Linked DNA regions of Caenorhabditis elegans. The protein of the gene in region 1 purifies or fractionates together with the protein of each later gene. This does not show direct contact. Each region holds a gene or a part of one and is shown on either strand. Other genes may lie near its edges.

Region 1 (4,665 bases):
AGCGTTCAGTCTAGGAATCATTTCAAGTCAATATCACTAATTATCTCATTTATTTTTGTTCCTTTGATTTATTCGTTTTGGTAGGGCCGTTTCATCTTAAAGCGTATATTCAAAACAATTAAAAAATCGTTTTTGAAGTCTTCCAAGTAAAAATAAATATCTGCTTTGTGCCTATATTGCGCACCTATCATTTAATTTCTTAAATGGGGCGTAGCAATTTTGGACTTCTGCTTCAATATCTTCAAAATGATCCCAATAGACCGAATTTCATAATGTGACTCCTCGAAAATTTCTTATGAAGATACAACATTTTAACACTGTTTTCTTTCATAGTGTCCAACGCCTGCCTTTTTCCTACACTAGTTTTTTTTTCAATATCCTTGCAAGTGCACCTGCAAGAAAAGTTTAACAAAAGTTCTTAAACTTAAAAAAGTAGGTGGTAGGCAGGCACGTAGGTGCGCAGGTATGTAGCCAATAGATTCTCAAAATATAATTATAAAAACTCTGCATTTCTTTTTATTCATCCTAAAAGCGCATTCTACTCAAAACCCAGTCACATGCTCTATTCACAAAAGTCAATTTTTTTTCATCTGCTCTCCGCATAAACTCTTGCTTCCAATTTCCAGATGCATTTAATGTCACGTGCGTTCACTTTTTTCCCTTCAAGCTTCCAGAACAAAAAAGTCTTGTGATGTTTCGCTCAGAAATTTGTTTGAATAGATGATAATTGGATTTCGGTTGAATTATTTTTGCCATCGCATGTCCTTTCTTCAATTCTCAATTTCCAGTTTTCGTGTGATTCTCCAAAAGTTTCAAACATCATCCGAATTTTCTTGTTTTTCTATTATGTCACTGATTTCCTATTTATTTTTCATATTTTTAAAGTTTTTTTTAAGGGAAAATGAAAACGCCTGCAATTTTATTACTCCTATTCTTATTTATGATGAGTTTGGCACAAAGTGATGAGGAACAAAGTGGAAAGGAACCTCCCGAAAAAGATGATGTTCTAGTTATTCTGGTTGGTTTTTGCCAATGTTACCATGTCAGAAATGCATGCATGCCTACTTTCGGCACATCTTCGTTTTCTTTTCCCGTATTCTATGTTTTAATTTTCAGGCAGAAGACAATTCGACACTATTAAACAATAACCAAACAATGTATGACCCTTCTTCCGAAGAAAAAGAAAGTGACAAACCAAAATTCAATTTATTGGAGACATATTTACCACTTTTCATATTTGTACTCGATCTACCAACAGAGGATAGAGAAACTTTGAAAGCCTATGTAAAAGATAAAACTTATGAAAAACTGAAATATGTAATCGATTCAAAAGTTAAAATGAATCGAAATGAGAAAAATGTCTTAGGAAGAATCAATGAATCCTTGGTACAATCAATCGATAATTTGGAACATTTTGATGAGATTACTGTAGATGTGGTGAATGGTTATCACGTAAGTTTGACATTTCAATGGAAAATCATCTCTCTTTAATCTTTAAAATGTTTTATTTTCAAAAAAAACCTTAATATGACAATACCAAATTTTCCTTCTATAACTAAATTTCTAGAATGCCTCCGTATACAACGCAATCCGTTCAGTTTGGTTGAAACAATTACGTCCATTTCTGCCGCTAATTGATCAAATGGCCATTCAGCAGTATTTTGCACAAAGGTTTCAAACATCAAGCGTCTATCAAAAACTATGTTTATTTTCCAGAAAATCTTCTGAAACTGAGAAAATGTCAATTTGGGCAAGATTATGGGAAAATCTGAGTGTTTGGATGTATGGAAAGAAAAAATTAAACGAATGTTATGCAATGGAGCCAAAATGTGTTCGACACGCATTGGAATTGCTTAATTTTGAACAAAGGATTGATTTGGATTTAGCTGCTTATGAGAACAAGTTTGACAGTGTTGATGGAATTATTAGGGAAAGAGTGAGTCAATTTAGATATTTAAAAAATGTCAAAAGCCCCAAAACGAATTAATTTTCAGCTTGGCGAAAATCGGAAAAGCAGTGAACTCGACGAATGGTTGCACAGAAATCGCCCACCAAAAGCGCTACAAGCTATTTTAGATGAGCGAAGTGACATTGAGGAGGAGTAAGATATTTATATTGAATAGATAAACGTTAGATTTTTAGAGCTCTTCAACGCCTTCGAGATAACGGAGTTCTGAGCTCACTCAAACATTATTACAAAGCAGTTATAGAGTCAAGAAGTCATGAAGAGCAAGAGGTAACCAATGTTTTAGATAGTTCTTGTCAATTTTCTTACGCATTTTTCGATATTCTGCTAATGGGTGCAAAGTTCTAAATTGTTTTTAATTGTAGCTTTCTATATTAAACTTTCAGGACATTCGTCATTTCTTCGACATAATGAATGACACATTTGCTCGTTGCTTTGACCCACTACGAGGCCAGTATCATGATTTCTAGAAAAACCCTCTTTTTGACTTCTTCCTCCATTTGTTTTCAGTCTCATTTAAAGTTGGAGTGGCATCGGAATATTTTTTTTGACTATTCATATGGTGCGTAGAAACATTTTTTTCCAATTTTTTTCGAAATTCGTTGTCGGAAGCTGGGAATTCTCAGCTTTTGTGAACAATACTTTTGGTATTTGGAAATTGGTTTTTTAAAAAGTGTTTCATAACAGTACATTATTTGGTTGGAAAACCTAAATATTCCAAAGACATGCCAATTTACCGAATCTAAACATTTCAAAAAGTTTATTATGATATTTTGCCACGTAAACTTTTATGAATATTAAAAAAAAATCCCCCACTGACGCTGCTCCAGCTTTAAAATCTCAAACTCTTGCCACTTTGAATGCATATTTGTTCCCTCTTCCTCTCATTCTATTGTTACGTGTATTTTGAATTTAATTTCCTGTTTCATGTTTTTAGTTTGAATAAAACATTGTTCACTCACCTATAATTACAACGGAAGCAAGCCAAGTTTGCGAATATAATGAGGAAGAAGTATCAGAAGAATATTTTGATTTTTCAGGCGAATTCTTGGGTTTCTTTGCCATTTTTTGTCTGGAATTACAACAGCGTAAGAATTGAGAAAACAATTAACGAAAAAAAAAAATACTAAATCCGTTCTGATTAGTTAACAGCACAGAAAAATGTCAAGGAGAGGTTTTAGAGAGAGAAAGAGAGGGAGAAAAAGTGTGAAAAAAAATTAGTGAGGACTGAAAATATGTTATTTCTCTAGAATAGAGATTAGAGTTGAGAAAATATATGAGAAATAGAAGGAAAACATAGAAACTAGCAAAAAGGATAGGGGTGGGAAAATATTAAATTTTTCATTTACCTAAAATTTGATATTAAAATTGCGATAAAGTAGGTAAGGGAAGCGTGTCTTGTAGGCAGGTATTCTGTAGGTAAAAAATTCTTACCTGATTTTTGAGGTATTTATACCTATGCCTACTGCCAAAAAGTTTTTTTTTCAAACTTAAAAAAGAACTATCAAATGAATTGAAAAGGCAAACACCAAACACCAAAGTAAAAAATGCAAAAATGGGTGATTGGTGAGTAGGCAGGCATGTCAAGAGAAAAATAAAAAGTAGGTAGAACATAATTGAACTATGTATAATCTACTAGAATATTAAATAAAACGTTGAACTTTTCAATTTGCTAGCTGAAAATAATTTAAGTTGACTTTGAAGGCTTTGCACTTTTGGTAAAGCAATTTCAAATAGTGGGAATTAGTTTTTAAACATGAAAAAAGGAGATTATGAAGACAGACAGACTATGTTTATTGAGAAAAAAACCATAAAAGCTATACGATTTTCCATCGAGGCGTTTCACCAAGAGACTTCGATTTTTTTGCCCATTTTTCAAAAGAAAAATACTCAATTTACATGAAAATAAACACAGCTTGAGATACCTCTTTCCCAACGAAAAAAAAGGAAATTCAATTGTTCGAACCCGACGCTTTTTCTTTTTTCAGAGATTTTTGTTTAGAGAGAATGAAGTCACGGACAATTTGAAATTTTAGAGGGAATCTATTAGGGAATTAGCAAATAGTATGAACAAATATAATTAGAAAGGGGAAACTTGCAGGGTTTTGCAAAATTAAAAATTGTAGATTTTTACACTTCGAACAAATCCGGAACAGTTTAACAGTTTAAAAAAATGTATTTAAAACAAGTTAAGTTATTTCTTTAAAAAATTTCGAGAAATGTTTCAAGATTTATATATTTATGATTTGTTTCAAAAATATCCAAGAGTTCAGGGAAAAGCCAGAAAAATGACTCAACAAATCAGCAAACAGTACAAGCAAATACAACGAGCATTTAAAATATTTTGGAAGTGAAAACTAAAATTTCAAAAAAATATGGGAACACAACATGATAGTTTGAGTAAAACATTAACCGAATCCTCTTCCTCTACACATTGAATCCAATCCATTTGACAGGCGGTCAGACAGGTAGCCAGTTAGATAGTACTAGGGTTTACAGAGACGCAGACATACCGATAGAGAGTAATACACAATAGATCTGTCCTCTTCTTGTAGTAAAGAAGGAGGAGATAGAATTGAATGAAACAACACTTATTTATGCTTTATTCTTCTATTGAGATATTTTTAGAGAGTTTTGAGTGCTTCAAGTAATTTCAAAAAATTAGGTTTAATGATGGAGAAGCGTTGATGCGGATGATG
Region 2 (4,916 bases), on another chromosome or scaffold:
CATATTAATGTATTTTCAGGAGATGCGTGATGTGAAGACCTTCTTGAGCGCCCACATTGCCCACTAAATATTCAATTCATTCCAAAAACGATTTTTTTAAAGTTTTTTTCACCAGACACACTTTATTTCTCTCAATTTTCAACAGACACGATAGTTCTGTCCAACCTCCATTCGATTTGTGTAGTCCTTTTCCGGCATTCGTACTTCAAGCTCATACAACGTGTCGTCTGTTTCATTTCGATGAGCCATCATAAACGCACGTCTGTAAATGTGTTCATTATTTCATGTCATAAATTATTTGCAATATATACCGTTCGTTTCTTTGTTGAACCGATCGTTTGATATACTCCAAATCTTCTGGAGTCAATTGATGACGAACATTTGGTCCTGAATGGATTCCAATTCTTATTTCTATTATTAATTTATTATCTCACCATTGATAACTGGCTTTTCATTCTGATCTTTCTTTCTCTTCTTTTCATCAGTATTATCAACTTTTCTTGCCGGTTTTGCTTTTTCTGGTGATTTTTGTTTTTCTCCAATTGTGGGCATTGGGTAGTAAGTAGATGTGGCGAACTGTTTTTGTTGGTAAGTAGGTGCAATAGCTGTATGAGGATCTGATCCCATTCTTTCAATAGGAATTTCAGATGCTTGTCTGAAATATTCAAATAATTATTTTGTTAGTTCGGATGTTTCGATAAGATATTATTCAGATGCAAAATTTTTATTCTGCCCGAAAACTACGGTACTGTACTATAATTTTCTCGCGAAAATCACAAAATATTGCATCCAAATAACATCCAATACGCCTTCAAATTTATGAAAAATTACGGTAGCTTATGAGTAGGTTTTGGCACATGTACATTCGTGTGAACGACTGTGGTTGTTTCATGCTTTTTGACTTCTTGCTTGACTTCTGAAATAAAAAAAAACTTTCATAAGATGCTTTGTTCATTCAACAAAAGCCGTTTACCTTGCTTCTTGATACTTTTCTCTGGAACGTGTGCACTAGTCTTCTGATGAGTTGGCTCCACAGTATCGTTGAGCAAAGTTTTCGAGTAATGCTTCACATTTAGTTCTTCTGATTCAACACTTGTCGATTGACTTGTTGGCTGACTGAATCATAGAATAATTGATAATCTGAATATATTAAAAAGTTAACTCACGTTTCGTCGAAATGTGCAACTCGATTGTGATGAATCGATCGTTCCAATGGATGCTCTTTCTTCAGTATCGCTGATTTGGACTTTGAGTTTTTGTTTTTACTATGACTACAGCCCATTCTTGAATCTTTCTCTCTTATTGCACACGATACGATTTCCTGGTATTTTGTCGGCGGAAGAATATATGAGTAAAATCAGAAATGAATCTTTTTTTATCTAAAGTTTTTTATTCGAAGAAAGAATCTTCGCGAAACATGTTTCTGTCACAGTTTATCTGAACTACAAATCTTAGGTTCACGAACTTACTTACTTGCTTCGTTAATTAAAAAAAAATTATATTCTTTTGCTTTCGTTTGCATGCAATTTCCAAAACTATAACTCCTATTTTCAGATGTCAAGTGCAAAGAAAAAACCAAGTCTCGTGACATGCCCCCAGTGTAATGCTGTTGTTCTTACCAAAGATTCTTTAAGACATCAAGACTTCTGTGGAAAGCCCGTCGTAGAATCTGAAATTGCGTGCGCTCAAAACGGAACGCTACGTGGATTTAATGTGGCAGTGGACAAAGCAGAAGGTTTTTTACCCCCAGACGCTGTTGGATGGGAAAAGGTTCGATTTTTACAAAAAACAACTTTAAAAAATCCGAATATAGCTGTAAAAATTTACATATGTAAGTTTTTCTAAAATTCTAAAAATCACTCTTCAGTTTTTTGAATTTTTTGCTGCAAAAATGAAAAAAAATCGCATATATTCTTTGACCCACTTCATTTTTTCTAGGAACACTCAATTCTAATCAATCAACAAACAATGGAAAGTCTAGGTCTACTTGCTCGGCAACCAGTTCGAATTATTCATTCTTCTGATTCTTTTATTGGAATAGTATGGCCTTGCAAAGAAGTTGCACTTCTCAAAGTATCCATAATATCTTCTAGAATTGCACGGGAACGAATGATCACATTGGAGTCTTGTGGAAGAGTTGAAAAACTCAAAAGTCTGAGTGTCACAGTCAAGACATCCTTGACTTTAAATCCGGCTCTCAGTGGATTCTTAGAAGCATATCTCAGTCACTCGTATCTGCAATACAATTCCAGTGTTGATCTGAAATATTTGGGTCAAAATGTTACAGTAACCCCAGAAGAACCAATCGAGAGCAAGATGAGCGCCATGGGAATAGATGACGACAAGAAAAGAAATTCGAAAGTAGTATCTACAGCTGTTGGCTACAAAATTCAAATTTTGAATGCTTCTGCAGAAGGATCGACTTCAGATGTTCTTCAAACTCTTCCAACTGACTTATCAAATATTGGTGGATGTTTCACCGCCAAACAAGTTCTCGAAGATTATGTTATCAGTCCAGTTCGTCAAAAAGAGTCACCGTGTTCAGTTTTGATCTGGGGACTTCCTGGAAGTGGAAAGACACTTCTTTTGAAAGAAGTTGCGTTAGTTCTTTCTGGATCAACAACCTACATTGGTAGCTGTGAAGAATTGATGGAATTGAATGGAGTAACAACTGGAAACATTGTAATTGTAGATGTTAATGAACTAGAAAAAGAAAATACGAAAGCAAATCGAGCATTGAGCTTTTTGTTGGGCGACGAAAAGGTAAGAACAATGATTTTTTATATTATTGTAGGGACACAGAAAAATGCCCATTTTGAAATCGTGTGCGCTGTACGGACAATTTAAATGTGTTTTTCTGAGTCCCTATAATAGATAGATTTCCTTTTTCTAACTTTACAATTCAATATTTTACAGAAATGCGTGATTCTTTGTGTTCGATCTTCCGAAACTCTTGACATTGGATTCCGTGTGAGATTCCCGATTGAAGCAGAAATCACTGTTCCAACACAAGACGAGAGACTCGACATTCTTTCGAAAATTGGCAACATCTACAATTTCCCATTGGAACTTCATCTTGATGTTGCTCGGCACACTCATGGATTCACTGGCGGAGATTTATGCTCATTACTGAAAGCGGCGAAATTTGCAAGAGGAAGAACACATTTGGAACGAGTAAATGACGCAAGAAAACGAATCAGACCAACTGGAATTCGTCAATTTATTCTAGAAGTACCTAATGTTTCTTGGAATGATATTGGAGGAAATGAAGAATTAAAGTTAGAAATTCAACAAGCTGTTATTTGGCCTCAAAAACATCCAGAAGCTTTTGAAAGATTTGGAATTGATCCACCAGCTGGAATTCTTCTTTACGGACCACCCGGATGTAGTAAAACTTTAATAGCACGTGCACTGGCTAGTGAAGCAAAAATGAATTTCCTCGCTGTCAAGGGACCGGAGCTTTTCAGTAAATGGGTTGGAGACTCTGAAAAAGCAATTCGAGATTTATTTTCAAGAGCAAGACAAGTTGCTCCAACTATTGTATTCTTTGATGAAATCGATGCAGTTGGTTCTTCAAGAGGTTCGGAAAAAAGTTCTGGAGTTTCGGATCGAGTTTTGGCACAATTGCTCACTGAGTTAGATGGTTTGGAAAAGTCAAGTAGAGTTATATTATTGGCGGCAACTAATCGGCCTGATCAATTGGATAGTGCACTTTTAAGACCTGGTAAGTAGGTTGTCTGTTTAAAAAATATATTTTTTTAACACAAAACTATGAAAAATTGATGTAAATACTGCACGACTGAAAATTTGAAAGTACAGTACTCCTGGTTGTATCTAATAGAAAATTGTCGTGTTGAAACCTACTACTGTAGTTTTGGGGAAAAAATGCCCGTTCGAGTAATAATATTTTTTTTTGTATTTCAGGTCGCCTGGATCGTGCTATTTATGTCGGATTACCATGTGAAGTGACACGAAGAGCCATTCTCGAAATGCGAACTAAAAAAATGAAATTCGATGATACAGTTAGAACAATTGATAAACTAGTGGAAAAAACATCAGGATATTCCGGTGCAGAACTTGTTGCTGTCTGTAGAACTGCTGCAATGTTTGCAATGCGTGAAAGCATTGATGCTACAATCGTGCAATGGACGCATTTTGAACAAGGTAATTAATATTATTAAATTATTCATTAACTAAATATTTTCAGCTCTTGCCGCAGTTGTTTCCCGAACTGAAGCGTATCTTCTTGAAATTTATGACGATTTTAAAGCAGGTCGAGCTTCGAACGCATGAAAATAACTGTTTACCTGATTGTTATTGTTAAATTGATTTGTTCTTGAATTTTGAATTTCTTTGATTGTTGAAAAATGAAACAAATTTTATTTTTGAACAAATTGTGATTCGAAGTTTAGAGCTGCACAAGAATGGAATTCAATTTGATAGGAGAAATTAGCAAAACGTTTTGATTCGTTGGATGAAAGCATATTACAGATAAAGTTTTTGAGAAAAAAAACGACAACAAATTTAAAAGTGAGCAGTAATTAAAGATAAAGTTTGGGATGAAGGGATTTTTTGGGTACACTAGAAAAATGGAATTATGCTTAAACAAGAAAAATTTAAAGTCCCGTCGGAGCAGATGAACTTGTGTGTGGAATTTGGGTAACAGACGAGAAATACAGTACTCTCCGCATTTTCATGAACATCATTAATCCCAATAGGCTGAGTGATGATCATAAATTGCGTTAGAATACAAAATATTTTGTTACACGTACAAAACACGCGAATTGGGTAGGGGAAAGTTAGTAGACATATAATATTTGGAATATGGAAAGTTATGATTGAGGTGAAGCTTACGCGGTTAAATTAACCGGGGGAGATGAGATAAGTTTGAAAATTGGATTCAATCTCAATAGATT
Region 3 (4,752 bases), 6.1 Mb from region 1:
GAGAACTCTACGGGAAAACGAAGGGTATTTGCAGAAAAACGGCCAATTTTTCAGAGAAATCTAGCTTTCAGTAATATTGTAGCGCCAGTCGTTGTATTTACGGTAGTCTTTGCGAAGATGATAGTCGGCTGGAAGCTCATTGAGCACTTTAGCTGCTTCTGCCTTGTAGTCACGGAGCTTCACCTCTGAAATTGGGGAAAATTGAATTTGCCGCGAAAAATGGGATTTTAAATGAGTTTTTAGTGAGATTTTCGTGAAATTCAGGTGGGAATGATGCCTAAAACTGAAAAAATTGATTTTTTTGACTTGAAATTCGGATTTTTTCCGCAAAATCTATCAAAATTTAACTTAAAATACAATATTTTTTGGATAGAAATTTGAATTTGTCGCTAAAAAATGTCTGAAATTAAGGTTTAAATAGTGATATTTTGGCTCGAAATTTGAAATTATTCCGAAAAATACAAATTTTACCAGTTTTACAAGGCTTTTTTGACTGAAAAAAGGTGAATTTCGTGACTTTTTAGTTTTAAAAAGCTTTAAAATAGTCAAAAAAGCGAAAAATTTAACAAAAAAGTGGTTTTTTTTTCAGGAAAATATGCAAAAACGTTAGAATTTTTCAAGTTTCAGGAGTTTCTGGGAACTTTTCTGAAAAGTTCATACAAAAATTGAGAGAAAAACAGTGGAAGAATTCAGCTAAAATATTGATTTTTTCGCATTTTTAAATTAATTTTATCGTAAATTCTATAATTTCTGTACCTGGAGCCGCGGTGGCCGAGTCATAGACATGAAGTTTGCTGAAGTATCCAAGCTTTGGACGCGTCAAGTTCAAATTAGCTTCCACGCAGGCATCGAGCTCCTTCTGGTCGTCATGGCACCTGAAAATTGAATATTCTACTGCTTTTTCGCTTTTTTTTTCGGAAAAAAATCACGTTAAAATTTTTTAACGGTTTATTTTCGATGAAATTTCATTTTTGGAAAGCTCACTTTGACATGTAAAGCTTGGCACTGCTCTGATCAACACATTCGGCGAGCTTCTGAGTCTGTGGAAGGCAGGAACGCTTCAAAGATTGAAGAAAATTGACTCCACACGCGGTCAGCGCGGCTCCCTCCTTCAAAACGGCACGTGGATCCTCGGCTTCCTTTCGTCGAAGCATGAACTCCTGCAAAAAATCTCAATTTTATCGAAAATTTGGCAGAAAAACCAACATTTGCCTCCTTTTCGCAATGTTTTGCCATATAGGGAGCGATGGATTTGAGCCATGGAGTTGATAAAGTGATTTCCTGAGGAACAGTGAGCTCCTCGTCACTTGGAAAATGCGTATCCTTGGTTATACTCATCGGAAAATGTACCCTGAAATTGGAAAATTGGAAACCAAGCGGAAACTGTTACAGAGAGGGAATTCGGTGATGAAATTTATTATTTTCGATGAGAAAAATTTGAAATTTGATTTTTAAACAAAAAAAAACAAAAAAAAATCGATTGAAAATAGTTTATTTTGATTTTAAATGATAAAATAAAAAATAAAATTTGTTTTGCGCAACGGCTGTTTGCCCGTAAATCCACACAAGTTTAAAGGCGCATGCCATGTTGGCTCTCTTCCCTGCGAGACCCGCGGCATCTCATGTCGATTTACGGGCTATCGAACTTTGCCCTTTTCTTGCTCCGATTAAAGTTTTCTAAAAAAAAAGCTTATTTAATTGAAGAAATTCAGATTTCATTTCAGATTAAATATTATGAAATTATTGTGTAAATTTCTGCTGTAAATCTGAAAATCTAGCTGAAAAATGGTGGAAGTCGCGCCAGCCGGCACAAAATCGCCGGCGCTCTCCGTTCCAGTTGTCATTTGGGGCCCGAAACCGCCGGAAAACAAGATTTGCGCAATTCGTGTGCTTCCTGATGGCGCAACAATTATCACAGGTTAATATTCATCGAATTTTCTAAACAATAAAACAAAAAATCTGAAATTTCGAAATTTTCAGGCGCTGAAAATGGCCACATTATTATTTGGAAGCTAGCAGAAGGACTTATGCCAAAGCAGCTAATGATTGGACATTCTCAAAAGATTACAGCAATCTCTCAGACAACAAATACACCGACAAATACGTTAGTAACGCAGGATTTGGAAAAAATCGATAATTTCCGAAAAATTCCAGACGTTTTGTCTCAGCTTCAGCCGACGGACGTGTATGCCTCTGGGAGATTCAAGATGGACGGTGCATTGATTCAACATCTTCTATTGCAATTCACAGATATATTTATCCATACGTAGGCGCTGGAAAATCGATTTTTAGCCGAAAAAACCGAGAATTTTTTTGATTTCAGACGTATAAATCGTCCCGTCACACGAGAGCAACTCGTCTTTTCTGTATTGGAGATTATAGTGATATTCAAGTAATGGATCCACAAGATTTGACAGTTGTATTCTCAATTTCTTCAAGAGTTGAACCGGATTGGATAAGCTGTTTTACAATTATTAGTCATCCGGAAAAGGAGGATCAGTTGATTGGAATGACTCTGAGTGGAATGATGAAGGTGTGGAATTAATGGAAAATCGATTAAAAAGCGAAAAAATTAATTTTTTTCAGCCAAAAATCACCGAAAAACATTAAAAAATATCATATTTTCGCGGAAAAATTGCATTTTTAAATGTTTTAATGTGAAAATACAAATTTTCTAGAAAAAATCTTCAATTTTATGTAGAAATGGAAAAAAAAATCGCGATACCCTGATTCAAGCTTATTTTTGAACGAAATTTGGTGGTTTTGAGCAAAAAATTGTAATTTTTGCCCAAAAATTTGGATTTTAAAAGTTTTTTATTAATAATTTCGATTTTTCAAACTTGTAAAACGACAATTTCCGTGAAATTTTCAAATTTTTTTCACTTAAAAATCACAGTTTTTGGAATTTTTTCTCCAGAAAGCCAATTTTCTACTTAATTTGGAAGATTTTTTGTATAGCCTTTAGATTAAAAAAGCTGATTTTAAAGCTATTTTTAAGAAAAAAAAAATTAATTTTTACGACTTTTGACGTTGATTTTGGTGTAAAAATGTATAAATCTATTGAAAAAATGTCATTTTGGACAGTTTTCGAGTGGAAAATTGAATTTTTGAAGCTTAAAAAAAAATTTTTAACTAAAAAAAACACAATTTCCGTGAGAATTTCAAATTTTCAGTTTATAAGCTCTTTTTATGATGCAAAATATCGATTTTAGGCCGTTTCTTATCAATTTTAATGCAAAAATAGTCATTTTCAAGCTCTAAAACCACATTTTTCCAGTTGAAAAGCTCGAAAAATTGAATTTTTATAGCTATTGCAGTTGATTTTTGTGTAAAACATGTATAAATTCGTCCAAAATATGACATTTTAAACGGTTTTTCGAGTAGAAAATAGAATTTTCGAAGCTTTTTTCCCTGTTAAAAGGCAATTTCCGTGACATTTCTAATGTAAATTTTCAATTTTTGACTGAAAAAAGCGAATTTTTGAACAATTCACACAATGTAAAGTGTTCTTAACGCAAAAATCTCGTTTTTAAATAGATTTTTACTTGTAAAATGACAATTACCATAAGATTTTCACATTTAAATTTTCACATTTAAAAATTCTAATTTTTGGTTTAAAAAGCTATTTTTAATGCTAAAACGGAAAAATTTAAATTTTTCCGAGGTAAAAAATTGATTTTAGATAATTTTAGACCAATTTTAACGCGAAAATAGCCATTTTCAAGCTCTAAAACCCCATTTTCCAGGTGTGGACGCTCACAGAACTGGAGAAAAAGGACCCAGCAACATCTCTATATGAAGATGAATCAAAACGACTAGAAATTCAACATATTCGAAGTGTTTCATATATTTGTTCAACAAGAAGAATGCTTTTAATAATTGCATCGACATGTTGGATGATTATTGATATGGATGATCTTTCAACAGTAGTTTTTCATAAAAATGAAATAACTACGAAACGTTGTGTGGCTGGATATCTTACGGATTTGGATAAAGTTACAATTGGATATACTGATGAATCAATTCATGTATTTCAATTGCCTATCGAGTGAGAAAATTCCGGAAATTTTTATTGGAAAATACCGGAAAAATCGAATTTTTCAGCTAAAAACACATGAAAATCAACAAAAAATCACAAAAACGAATAATTTTCTTTGATAAAATTATCAATAATCTAAAGAAATTTGAAATTTTCCTGGAAAAAGCATACAATTTGCGAAATACCCTAATTTTCTAGCGTGTAATCAAAAAAAATTGACAAAAATCGAAAAATTTTTGTTTAAAAAATTAAGTAGTTTTGCACTATTTCGATAGATTTTCGTATATATAATTATTGATTTAAACAACAAAAAATGAAACAAAAAATCCGCTTTTCCACGAAAAACAGATTATTTGCAGAAAAACTATATCTTTTAATGAAAAATTGACAAAAATTGAGCCAAAATATCCAAAACGCACATTCTGACGAATTTTCTCATAGAAATTGCTTATCGAGTGAAAAATCCCGGGAAAAATCGACTTTTTCGGCAAAAATTGAGTTAAAATCGCTTATTTTCAATTAAAAATATGCAAAAAAAATAATTAAAAAAAAGATAATTGATTTTTTTGGAAAAAATAAAAAATAAATAAATAGCTTAAAATCACGAATTTTTGTTGAAAAAATTTGAACATTTCCCACAAATTTGACATATTTTTGCCTAAAAATTCAAGATTTCAACGCTAAAAAGTTGAATTTTCTTGAAAAAATTCTCT

What was found. Proteins that work in one complex are often made in the same cells at the same time.
Region 2: the proteins of dpy-19 (region 1) and cdc-48.3 fractionate together in Caenorhabditis elegans (co-fractionation; one large-scale study listed by BioGRID). This does not show direct contact.
Region 3: the proteins of dpy-19 (region 1) and rbc-2 fractionate together in Caenorhabditis elegans (co-fractionation; one large-scale study listed by BioGRID). This does not show direct contact.

Annotation. Positions count from the first base shown.
Region 1 is NC_003281.10:8,664,445-8,669,109, forward strand, and holds the start of dpy-19 (C-mannosyltransferase dpy-19), read right to left. Parts: upstream 3,039-4,665; 5' UTR 3,032-3,038; coding exon 2,929-3,031; intron 2,922-2,928; exon of another isoform or gene 2,437-2,921; coding exon of another isoform or gene 2,353-2,436; intron 2,237-2,352; coding exon of another isoform or gene 2,143-2,236; intron 2,102-2,142; coding exon of another isoform or gene 1,995-2,101; intron 1,937-1,994; coding exon of another isoform or gene 1,717-1,936; intron 1,672-1,716; coding exon of another isoform or gene 1,568-1,671; intron 1,453-1,567; coding exon of another isoform or gene 1,117-1,452; intron 1,019-1,116; coding exon of another isoform or gene 902-1,018; exon of another isoform or gene 894-901; intron 1-893. Other genes in the region: F22B7.1 (uncharacterized protein), read left to right, coding at 902-1,018, 1,117-1,452, 1,568-1,671, 1,717-1,936, 1,995-2,101, 2,143-2,236, 2,353-2,436. UniProt on the Caenorhabditis elegans protein: C-mannosyltransferase that mediates C-mannosylation of tryptophan residues on target proteins such as unc-5 and mig-21. Mediates the attachment of alpha-mannose in C-C linkage to the C2 of the indole ring of tryptophan.
Region 2 is NC_003279.8:8,032,335-8,037,250, reverse strand, and holds cdc-48.3 (ATPase family protein 2 homolog), read left to right. Parts: upstream 1-1,554; coding exon 1,555-1,770; intron 1,771-1,938; coding exon 1,939-2,763; intron 2,764-2,916; coding exon 2,917-3,724; intron 3,725-3,924; coding exon 3,925-4,164; intron 4,165-4,207; coding exon 4,208-4,293; 3' UTR 4,294-4,388; downstream 4,389-4,916. Other genes in the region: ath-1 (palmitoyl-protein hydrolase), read left to right, coding at 20-67; K04G2.4 (SHSP domain-containing protein), read right to left, coding at 139-262, 312-387, 435-655, 832-916, 974-1,116, 1,167-1,282. UniProt on the Caenorhabditis elegans protein: ATP-dependent chaperone which uses the energy provided by ATP hydrolysis to generate mechanical force to disassemble protein complexes.
Region 3 is NC_003281.10:2,525,662-2,530,413, reverse strand, and holds the start of rbc-2 (WD_REPEATS_REGION domain-containing protein), read left to right. Parts: upstream 1-1,724; 5' UTR 1,725-1,734; coding exon of another isoform or gene 1,735-1,764; 5' UTR 1,765-1,785; coding exon 1,786-1,918; intron 1,919-1,980; coding exon 1,981-2,104; intron 2,105-2,154; coding exon 2,155-2,266; intron 2,267-2,323; coding exon 2,324-2,533; intron 2,534-3,746; coding exon 3,747-4,048; intron 4,049-4,752. Other genes in the region: ndua-8 (NADH dehydrogenase [ubiquinone] 1 alpha subcomplex subunit 8), read right to left, coding at 61-185, 757-875, 985-1,160, 1,207-1,338.